Neurospora crassa OR74A: one gene and its partners. The protein of the gene in region 1 interacts with the protein of each later gene in a pairwise test. Links are inferred from orthologs where the notes say so. Each region holds a gene or a part of one and is shown on either strand. Other genes may lie near its edges. The genes, in order: NCU03066, NCU02640 and NCU01257.

Region 1 (3,661 bases):
TCGCCCATCCGCCGCTACGCCGATTTAGTTGCCCATCGGCAGCTCGCCGCCGCGATTGAGTACGAGGCCGTCCACCCGGCCGTCCGCTCCCGTGGCCGCCTTGAGGCCGTGTGCAAGAACATCAACGTGCGCCACCGCAATGCCCAGTTGGCCGGCCGTGCCAGCATTGCTTATTATGTCGGCCAGGCCCTGCGCGGCAAGGCTACGGAGGAGGACGGCTTCGTCATGAAGATCTTTAGCAATGGCTTTGTTGTGCTCGTGCCGAAGTTCGGTATCGAGAGCTTGATCCGTCTGCGTGACCTGGCGGAGCCGGAGCCGGCGGCGACGTATGATGCCGAGACGTACACGCTGACCACATCGGGAAGCAGGGAGGTTAAGGTGGAGTTGTTCCAGAAGGTCAGGGTGAGGGTGACGGATCAGAAGGATGAGACGACGGGGAAGAGGGGGGTGAAGATGGAGCTTGTTAGTACTTATTAGATTTGTTGAAGATGGATGCTTCAGTATTTGAGAAGGGGTACAGGTTAAGAATACCCTTGATGGACTTTTGTAGAGCAATACATTGTTTTTTTACTTTCGGCTATCCAAACGTTCATGAAGTCATTTTCGGAATGTCGTTGCTTTCGAATTCGATAATAGGCCATTGAAAACACAGCTCGGTATGATGAACGATGCAGGGAATGTCAGAAAGAATTTAAAGCTTCACTTCAAAAGCCTTTGTCATAGAGGTGTTTATGATCAGGCTATATTTGACCTATTTTCTACCAGCCGGCCTGCCTGTCTCCCTTTTTGCTCTTTCCCACCTTGACGCCAAAACGCCTCTTCACAAAGATGTGTCCAGCTCCGGGGTTCGTTGTATTGTGTTTCTGACATGCAAAACAACAAAATACTCATTACGACATTGACCACCGACGCAACCGAAAACAAAAAAGAAACCAAAAAGTGAAATGCTCAACAACAACTGCCAACAGACAAAGATAGGGGGAATAAATCGCTCTACTGCATCTCAACATCCGGAGTCGCCGTCTCCTCCTCATCTCCCCAAAGACCATCCAGCTTGAACTCCTTGGCCCACTCGGTCACGATCACCTTCTGATCCGCTAGGGGCTCATCAGCGGTAGCAGACTTGCCGCCAGCAGGAGCAGGAGCAGTGGCGGTACCAGCCACAGCCAAGACGGGAGCATCGATCCAGCCCTGGATACGACCGTCGCGCCAGTCGGTCACGACAGTCATGGCAGCGGCTTGGATATTGGGGATACCGCCCCTGCCCAGCCTGCCGCGCTTGCGGGCAACCTGGACAAGGAAGTCCATGGTGGGGTCGCCGTTGTTGGGGTCGCGCAGCAAGGGGGGAAGGTCGTACACCTTCATCATCTTGTCCATCAACTCGGGGGTGGCCGACAGGCGCTTGAGCAGCAGCGTCACGGCGGGGACCGGGTCCTCGATCTGCTTGGGCGGGATGGCATTAAGGAGCACCAGGTGGGCGTGCGCCTCGGTCTGGTTCTTGGGGGTGAAGGTCGAGTTGCCGGCAGTGGAAGGGAACACGATACCGGGCGAGTCGAGCAGCGTCAGCTTGCTGTCGATCTTGACCTGGCGGATCGAGGTGGTGACGCCGGCCTCGGCGCCGGCCGGGCAGGCGTTGTGCTGGCCGCGGCTGTTGCTGAGGCGGGACAGGAGGGCGTTGATGACGGACGACTTGCCGACGTTAGGGTAGCCGATTACGCCAACCTGGATGGAGCGCTTGAGGTTGCGCGAGACGGCGTACGACTTGAGCGCACGGAAGAGAGCCGCGCTGGTGCTTTGGACGGTAATGTCGCGGTGCTGGAAGGTGTGGGCGTTGGGGGCAGGGTTGGAGGCACGCAGCGGCAGCGTGGGGAAGTAGCGGCGCAGGTGGGTGAGCCAGCCGCGGAGGACCGGGGGAGGGATCAGATCGACCTTGTTGAGGATGAGGATCAGGCGCTTACCACCGTGGGCGGCGGCCATGACGGCGCGCTCGACGTCCCTCGAGCGGGTGCCTTCGGGATCACGGGCGTCGAGGACGTAAAGAATGACATCAGCCTGCTCAACAACCTGCTTGAAGACCTTGTCGAAAGCCTTGCGCGAGGAGGCGCCGCCGGGAACCTCAATAACGCCGGACTGTGTGGGTTCGCCATCGGTCTCGTCGTCGGACTCGTCGTCATCGTCCATCTCGTCGCCGCTCTGGAGCTCGCGGTCGTACTGCTCGGCAGCTTTCCTGGCGCTGGCCACCAGGGCAGCGAGGGGGTTCGACTCATCGTCAACGTCGCTACCATCCTCCTCCATAGCATCGTCGTCGTCCATCAGATCGTCATCGAACGCCTCGACATCGCCCTCGGCGCCCGTCTTGGTGTCCTGGCCAGTCTTGGCCGCCTTGGCCATCTCACGACGCTTCTGCTCCTGTTCCTTTCTCCGAATGCGGTCCTCCTCGATCTGGTTCAACAGCTTCTCCTTGTAGGGGAAAAGGTTCGGGATACCCGGGTCCTTCTTGAGCTTGGAGCGCCATTCTGGGTTCTTCTTGGCGAGCTTTCTGTCCTTGCGTTGCTTCGCGGCCGAGGCCTTCTGGATCTTGTGCCTGAGGCGTACGGGTGTACGCTTCGATTTCGGCTCTGTTTTTAAGTAACGTCAGTCAATGTGTTGATTGGAAGAATATGTTGTTCTCAGCGAAAGATTGACTGACTTTTGGGCTTTGTTATCGATCCGGCCATTTTGAAGATATGCTGCTCCTAATGTCAAAAAAGGAGGTACAGGAGGATAATTGAGGATGGGACAGCAAGGTAAAGCAGCAAAATCCGGTCGCTACTATGGGCGGCTGTACTGATTGATGGTCGTCAAAAAATTAGAGTGGAGGAACGGTTTGTGCCACTGCTGACCGCCTAGATAAGCTCTGATAAAGCAGGGATCCGCCGTGTTGAACTCCACCAAGATTCCAGAAGTCCCCGCTTCGAATGTGGAGATGCGCGTGCCTGTAATTTACAGTCGTATTGTATGTTTGATTTGTGTTTAGCCAAACGTGGAATGTAAATTATATTGATACACTTATGGTGTGGTTGCGCTTGTTCTCTATATGTATATGAAGAATTATTGCTACCGACTCTTTACGCAAGTGGTTTGCATTGCCTTTCCAGAAAGAGGACTTTAGGTCGGTCCGTCTCAACAATCAAACACTTGTCTGCCATGACGATCCTCAAATCCATCGAACCGTCCGTCAAGGTGCAGTTCTGGATGCCATCAGTTCTGTCGTCAAGCACTTGTTTATACCACACATGGACGCTGTACGCTTTTTTTGAGTTTTTGGATCATCATGGATTCAACAGAACACCGTGCCCCGCTCGCATAATTGATCGTCGCTTAAGCTGACAATGGCATTGCACTATGCAATGATTATCGGCAGAGCAGACACTCCGGACATTGGGTCATCTTGGCCTACGTAGACAAAGTCCTGAAGCAAAATAGCATGCTAGCATCGAATACGCATCAAGAAAGGGGGTTGTGGTGGGGAGGTAACATATCACCCAGAAACCACGCTTATCACGCTTCACATGAGGGAGTATCTTCAGAAACTCTTCCGTAGGTATCCCCCATTTAGCGTAGAGAAAGACGGAAGAGACCGATTGTTTCCCAAGTTATCGCACCCTTCAATCGCTGTTCT
Region 2 (3,120 bases), about 1.4 Mb from region 1:
TTTCTCTTTCTCCTTCCCGAGGCGGTCGCGGTTTGATCGATGACGATGCAGATGGAGCGAAGACGGCAATTCGGTGATGGAGCGAGTGATTTGGTGTCGCTGACGATGTGGAGAGTGGGATCCTCCTTTGAGCCCTTCGACTCCATTCGGGGCGTTCGGAAACATGACGGCACTCGAGCGGCTTTCCTTTTCTTTATCGCGCTTTATCTGGTGATTCCGAGACATACCAAAGTGTAATGATGCGTAATAACGCCAGATTAGAGTACCTCTACGGGTAGGCAAAAAGTGGAGGTGTAAGCCAGGATGTACCTAAAGTCGACGGGGCCACTGACGTTGCGACGACTCACAGAGGTGCATCGCGGCGGGGACGCGGCGCAGGGGACCAATGGCACTCACTGCCCGGTGACGGGAAGCCGGCTGCCTTAACGATCCTTTCGCGGAACCTATCCAACCTGTGCAGGGGTTGCTTCACTGGACATGTGAACTGAAGCAAAATAACCACAACCAAAGTTTGTCACGAGAAGAGAATCACCTGGAAGATGGGTTTCAAGTGGCTGCAAAGCCACCAAGAATGGTAATGGTAAGCTTTTTGTTATGTTCCGTGTAAGAATTGCTTGGGGTATCAGAATATTGCTGTGGTCCCTTATCACCCGCAGTACCTAGTCATTGATGTACGCCTTTCTTTTTGGCGTTGTTTTTCCGGGTTGTTTCTCATCCATCCGCCCTGTCCGCTGAGTTCTTCCTGACAAACCACGGCCTTCCGTGGCTGCTGCGAACTTCCAACTCCAATTATGCCATGCCATTATAGACACTCATTCAAAATAAAGTAACGCCGCTACCATCATATTTGCCGAGGAAGACGCCGCGCTGCGAAGGGGGTTTGGCTTTCGTCTTTCGGGCATTGGTAGAACGGCGAGGCCGGTGATTCGGTTCGGTACCCATCGTTGGACGGAAAGGAGTGAGACGTGGTGTTCCGCATGTCCTGAGTGCCGTTCACAGCCTCCTCGTTCAAGAGTTGATAAGCTTGTTGCGCTTCTCCTTGCGCTTGAGCCTCTCCACCCTCTTCTTGTGCATCTTCTCGGCCATCTTCTCGTAACGTTCCTTCTCCTCCTTCTTTGCCCGCTTCTCCTTGAGGGCTTCGATGCGTCTCTGTGTGGAAATGATGGATCAGCCCCTGGCATCTTGTCTCCCGGATTCGTATTTGCACCAACCTTGCGCTCAGCCTCCTTCTCATCCTTAAGCTCCTTCTCCTTAGCCTTGACAGCCGCAAGCAACTGCCTCTCCTTTGCGCGTTTCTCATACGATGTCAACCCGGAGCCGGGACGGAAGGCCTTTTTGGGGGCGTGCCATTGCTTTCCTGTAGGATAATGGCAATTAGTACTTCATTCGACCTAGGATGGCAGAACGTAACGGACAAAGACTTACCATTGACCCTCATGCCAAGGGGCTTGGAAACCGCCTTGGTCTCCACCTGAGACGTTGTTTGTGTTGTTGTGGTAGTAGAGGACATTGTTGCGAATCGTTAAAGTCGACCAGCAATCCGTGCATTAGCTGGGTTTGATGCAGAGCGTTGTGACGGCGATGCCAGACGCAGAACTACCAAAGGCGGTCAGTGAATGCGGTCGCACTCGAGCAGAAAAATTTGGACGGCAGAATTGGTTATCGGGCCTGTCGTTGCAACGTTATCGCTGAGCGGGTCGTAGTATGGAGAACAGGCGTTAAAACTGCGGGGCGGACCCTCGTCACCCTTGCTTCCGGCATCGATGTGCCTGGTCTCATGTTGATGGTGACTGACGTTGGATCCCAGGGTCTGCCCCGCAGTGATAAGATAAAGTGACTCAGTCGACTGTTTGACGCTGTGGGAGACACTAATAAAAAGCCTCGAGTTGCCGCCCGATATCGCCTTTGTCTTTCTTACAAGATCAAGTTCAGGAACTGTAACTGTCGAGAGTAGCCATCCTCCGCAAGCACCAATCCGCCAAAATGTCTGAGTCCAAGGGCCGCGTCTGTCTGTAAGTAACACCCAGAGCAGTGTTGAATAACGTCTGGTGATTCCACTTGTGGCACAGGCTATTCTGGAGCTTTGACGCCTGACTGACAGTCCCTCCCGTTCATAGCGCCTATTCCGGAGGTACGATCCTGGAGCTATACAACACAAGAGATCCGCCTGCCACGAATGCAATTGCTCACCAATTGATCACCGTATACAGGTCTTGATACTTCCGTGAGTCCTCCTGAAGCTTCCCTCTGATCTTATAGAGCGCATTGACTGACATCTGTGACTGCAGACCATCCTCTGCTGGTTGATTGAGCAGGTAGAGAAAACCAACCAACCCCCGCGCTCCCCTCCCGAGCTGTAATATTAACCCGAGTGACTCGACAGGGCTACACCGTCGTCTGCTTCCTCGCCAATGTCGGCCAGGAGGAGAACTGGGATGAGGTCCGCGCCAAGGCCAAGAAGCTCGGTGCTGAGGAGATGGTGATCCTCGACCTCCAGCAGGAGTTCGTTGACCAGATCGTCTTCCGTGCCATCCAGTGCAATGCCATCTATGAGGACCGCTACCTCCTCGGCACCTCCCTCGCCCGCCCCATCATTGCCCGTGCCCAGGTCCGCGTTGCCGAGCAATACAACTGCGAGTTCGTCTCCCACGGCTGCACTGGCAAGGGCAACGACCAGGTCCGCTTCGAGCTTGCCTTCAAGTATGCTGATTCCCTCCTCTTGAGCCTCATCCGACGCACAAACACTGACGTGACACCAGGGCCTGCAACCCCGAGATCAAGGTCATTGCTCCCTGGAGACTTCCCGAGTTCTGTGCTCGCTTCCAGGGTCGTCAGGATCTCCTGAAGTACGCCGCCGACAAGAACATCCCCGTCTCCTCGACCCCCAAGGCCCCTTGGTCCATGGATGACAACCTTGTCCACTGCAGCTACGAGGCTGGCATTCTTGAGGACCCCAACCACACTCCCCCCAAGGAGCTCTGGACCCGCACTGTTGACCCCCAGGACGCCCCCAACACTCCCCAGGAGTTCACCATCGTCTTTGAGAAGGGTATCCCCGTCAAGGTCATTGTCGATGGCAAGGAGACCACTGGCTCTGTTGAGCTCTTCAAGCTCCTCAAC
Region 3 (3,752 bases), on another chromosome or scaffold:
CTTTCTTCTATTTGCTTGTAGCTTCAGGAAAGGCGGGTCTATGTCTGGCGTTGGTGGTTATGGGTCTTCCCAGGTCTATTTGGGTCTGAATCTGGGTTTGGGTTTAGGCTCGTCTCGATGAATAGCAGCAAGCAGGCGTTACGATGGTGTTGCGCATCAAACCCCTTACCATGCGGGTTCGAGGAGTGAAAGGGGGATGTCTCGTGTATTAGTGTATCTGAAGTACCTAGTCTTAAAGTAGCGATGGCCCTTGCGCGGCTCGTCCGTGACAGGATGATACTCTCACAAACTGTAGTGACCGAGATTTGTTTTTGTTCACGAGCCGACATCGGGGGCCTTTGAATGAAGGTGAAAGTAAGGAACCCGTTTGTTCGGGTGAACGGATATAGCCATTCTGCAAGATGAATGATATGAGAAAAGGACCTTTGAGCCAAGCGGGTAACACCATCAAACTGTAAGGCATGAAAAGAACTCTTTAGGTATCTAAGTAAAGGTAGTGGCTACTGAATTGATCTGAATCCTTCAATGATGTTTGTTGTATGACCGGTCCCATGATGATGTATACTCATACACGCTACTACCACCTTTGTCACCAACCTGCCGTGCTGACCTTTTGTTGTACTAGGTTGGAAACTAAACAGATTACCCATCATGGCATCGACACCGCTCTTCACTTCCACTGCTTCTTCTCGCTCCTGCCACAGTGAAGCTTACTCACTTCACCTCTTTCCAGCCCCCGCCTTTCTCCTAGCCTTACCAGGCCTAGGCGCAGGCTTGAACTTCTTGGGCTTGCCGCCTGCTGGGCCGCCCGATTTCATCTTCCTCGCACTGAACCCGCTCACGTCGCCCGACGAGAGGGCGTCGTTGGATTTGGCGTACTTCTTCTTGCCGCCGAAGCCAAACTTGGCATCCTTCCGTTGCCTCTTGGCGTTGGGCCCGCCGCCCTCCTTGCCGTCGCGGCCGCGCTTTTTGCTGTTGTTGCCGCCAGGGCCGCCCTTGAGCTCGTTGTCGACGGCAACGTCAAAGAGGTCTTCGGCTTCGTTGGCGCCGGTGGGGCCACCGCCGTCCTTGCGCTCTATTTAAGGAGGCGGAGGTTAGTTGGCTTCAGTTATCATCAAGTTGGGGAGGGGAAGGAAGAGGAAGAGAACTTGTTATGGAATTAAGAAGGGAAGGGGAAGGAGAAGGGTAGGAGAGGCACGTACTCTTCTTGAGAAGATTGATCTTTTCGAGTGTGTCACGCTTCTGCTTGGCACGCTCCTGTTGCTTGGCCACCTGCACCTGCTTGCCGAACTTCTTGAGGTCGCGCTGCTTGCGCGCCTCGGCCGAGGCCTTCTTGGCCGTGGCCTCCTCGATAAGCTTGGCCTTGACCTTCTCCATAGTCTCGTCGCTGCGCAGCGTCTCGGCAAAGTAGTCGGTAGGGCGGGTGAAGGGGACACCCTCCTTGCGGAGGAGGGCGCGGCCGACGCGGGCGGCCTCGAGCGCCTGGTTCATGAAGGCCAGCTCGCGGGCCAGGTCGTCGTCGATCGAGGGGATGGACTCCTCCGTCACCTTCTTGGCAACGATGGACTGGTGGAAGGCGAATGGGACTTTGTCGGTTGTGTCGAGGGCGAAGCGCTTGAGCGCCGTCAGGAGACCTTGCTTGTTGTTTATTGTCTGGCGCGCCCTCGAAATGGCCTTGACTTCCTCTCCTTCTTCTCCGTCGACGTCGAGCTCATCAATGTCGATCTCATCCTCGTCCTCCTCCTCGTCGCTCGATTCCTCGGCGGCCTTCTGGTACTTGTTTGCCTGGATGCCGGCGGCGGATTGCTTCTCGTTCAGGTCGCGCTCGAATTCTGAGTCGGAATCGGATTCGTCAAGTGCATCAAGATCGAGATCGTTGTCCTCTTCGTCGTCACTACCCTCCTCAGAATCTGAACCGGCCTCTTCCTGTTGCTCTGGTTTCTCGTCGGCCTTGGTCTGAGTGGTGGTTTCTTCCGCCTTCTGCTCCTCCTCGACATCCATCTTGTCCTCTACAGGGGTTTCTTCGACGACCTGCTTGGGCTTTCTGCCACGCTTCTTCTGCTCCTTCTGGGGCTTCTCTTCAACAATCTTCTCGATCTTCTCAGCCTCAAGAGCCTTGGTGGCCGGCTTTTTTGTGCGGGTGGACTGTCGCGGCATTGTGATTATGTGGGGTTGCTGTACAATCGATTTGGATGATGAGCTCGAGAAGCGGCAGCGCTTGCAGTTCTGGAAACTTTTTTTTGACATGGCGGCTGCCATTACCCGATAAGATAAGCCTGGTGGGTCGGAGGCGGACCCAAATGTGGATGCTTGGCGCCCGGCATAGAGGTATCCACAGCCCAGCTCCTGGAAGTGCCCTTCACACTCTCTCTGAATCTGGCACATCAAACCCCAACCCTCAGGTTACGAGTTACAATGGGCCTGTAGTCACGGTGATGGTCACCCACCGAACTGCGTTTTCTCGGTGATCTCAAGATTGATTGCTAGTGTATATCACCATGCCCTGTGTATCTCTGCCCAGTTTCTCGTAAGCTACCCGCAGCCTGTGTCAAGGTGATTCAACACGAGTCTCCTGATACATCAAACTTCGCGTTCAGTGGAGGAGCCTTGTCCCGCGCAAACATCACGAACCTAACCTGGCCGAAACAGATCAGAAATATGTCTGGGACGTCGAGCTGATACATGTAATGGGATGTAGTATATTTTCTCGGAGCCGAGGCCATTCCTCCGCGTATCTTGCCTTGATGATCGATCAAGCGTTCCATTTGCAAGTTGACAGCTTTATCACTAAAGTCAGTTGCTCTGAAAAGTCTTACGAAGAGGCATACGATGATAATGAAATTCACAATCATAGAGGTAGTCACGGTCATGAGAGCATCCAAAGATATGGTGTCAACCGGGGTTTTTTTTTTATTAAAAGAACTAACACTCTTCAAATCCTTCAACCAAGCCAACTCACCCCCACAATCCCTCCCCTCCGCAAACCAAGATCAGAAAGATACAGTGAAAACTCCCCACATGGTCCTCCCCCTCCACAAATTTCATCCCGCGAGTCCCCCCTCCCTGCCAAGACAGAAAGGAAGACTTCCCTCCTCTACAGTCCTATCCAAGAAAATTCCAAGAAAGTGCGCAAAGAAAAAGGAGTGGTGAACCAAGCGCCATACCCAAGCCCGTGCAAGTCCCACCCAACAAAAGAGAGAAGCATGTCGCGAAATAGCTCCCTCCCAGCAGATGGAAGAGGTTGAGGTTGGAAGGTGTGAGTCCGCCGACTCCCAGGTGACGTTTGCCGAAGAGTGTGAACCAAAGAGAAGTTGCTGCATCGTTTCCCGCCGGCGATGTCCTCAGTCCGCAAAGGGTGTTTGGTGTCGAATCAACGACAAAAGAGAGAAAGGGTCCAGAAAGATAAGGTGAGTTGCCTGAGTGTCGAAAATTGAAGAGGGAAAGCTCCGTGTGGACGAAAAGTAGTCCCGTGTGAAGTTATCCCCAACAAAAAGAAGCGAAAGTCGTTTATGTGAAAGGATGGTGTGTGTGATGTGTGCGGATGTATATCCCCGGTTGACAAAGGTTTTTTCCATTCCCATCAAGGAAAGATCCTCACCGCTCCGGATGTTGTCAGTGGGTGCTCCCATTGTGCAGAGTCCACCATGAAGCAGAGACAAGAAGCTTCCTAGGCGAGGTTGCTGTTGTGGCGGAACGAGAGGTGGGCTTTTCAATCATGATAGAGGGAAAAGCAGATTGCTGGTCTGACGTTG

Evidence for each region.
Region 2: the proteins of NCU03066 (region 1) and NCU02640 interact in binary tests that used the Saccharomyces cerevisiae proteins (3 or more experiments, as listed by UniProt). The link is inferred for Neurospora crassa OR74A from reciprocal best matches to the Saccharomyces cerevisiae genes NUG1 and CGR1.
Region 3: the proteins of NCU03066 (region 1) and NCU01257 interact in binary tests that used the Saccharomyces cerevisiae proteins (3 or more experiments, as listed by UniProt). The link is inferred for Neurospora crassa OR74A from reciprocal best matches to the Saccharomyces cerevisiae genes NUG1 and EBP2.

What each region holds. Positions count from the first base shown.
Region 1 is NC_026501.1:4,413,903-4,417,563, forward strand, and holds NCU03066 (GTP-binding protein), read right to left. Parts: upstream 2,823-3,661; 5' UTR 2,718-2,822; coding exon 2,690-2,717; intron 2,619-2,689; coding exon 994-2,618; 3' UTR 653-993; downstream 1-652. Other genes in the region: NCU03065 (mitotic control protein dis3), read left to right, coding at 1-477. UniProt on the Saccharomyces cerevisiae protein: GTPase required for 60S ribosomal subunit export to the cytoplasm.
Region 2 is NC_026501.1:3,022,709-3,025,828, reverse strand, and holds NCU02640 (hypothetical protein), read right to left. Parts: upstream 1,545-3,120; 5' UTR 1,511-1,544; coding exon 1,426-1,510; intron 1,358-1,425; coding exon 1,212-1,357; intron 1,150-1,211; coding exon 1,009-1,149; 3' UTR 574-1,008; downstream 1-573. Other genes in the region: NCU02641 (hypothetical protein), read right to left, coding at 1-225; arg-1 (argininosuccinate synthase), read left to right, coding at 1,984-2,012, 2,118-2,131, 2,211-2,224, 2,289-2,315, 2,384-2,700, 2,760-3,120. UniProt on the Saccharomyces cerevisiae protein: Involved in nucleolar integrity and required for processing of the pre-rRNA for the 60S ribosome subunit.
Region 3 is NC_026505.1:3,393,385-3,397,136, forward strand, and holds NCU01257 (hypothetical protein), read right to left. Parts: upstream 2,214-3,752; 5' UTR 2,158-2,213; coding exon 1,203-2,157; intron 1,076-1,202; coding exon 720-1,075; 3' UTR 436-719; downstream 1-435. UniProt on the Saccharomyces cerevisiae protein: Required for the processing of the 27S pre-rRNA. Probably involved in the step of the processing of the 27 SA precursor into the 27 SB intermediate.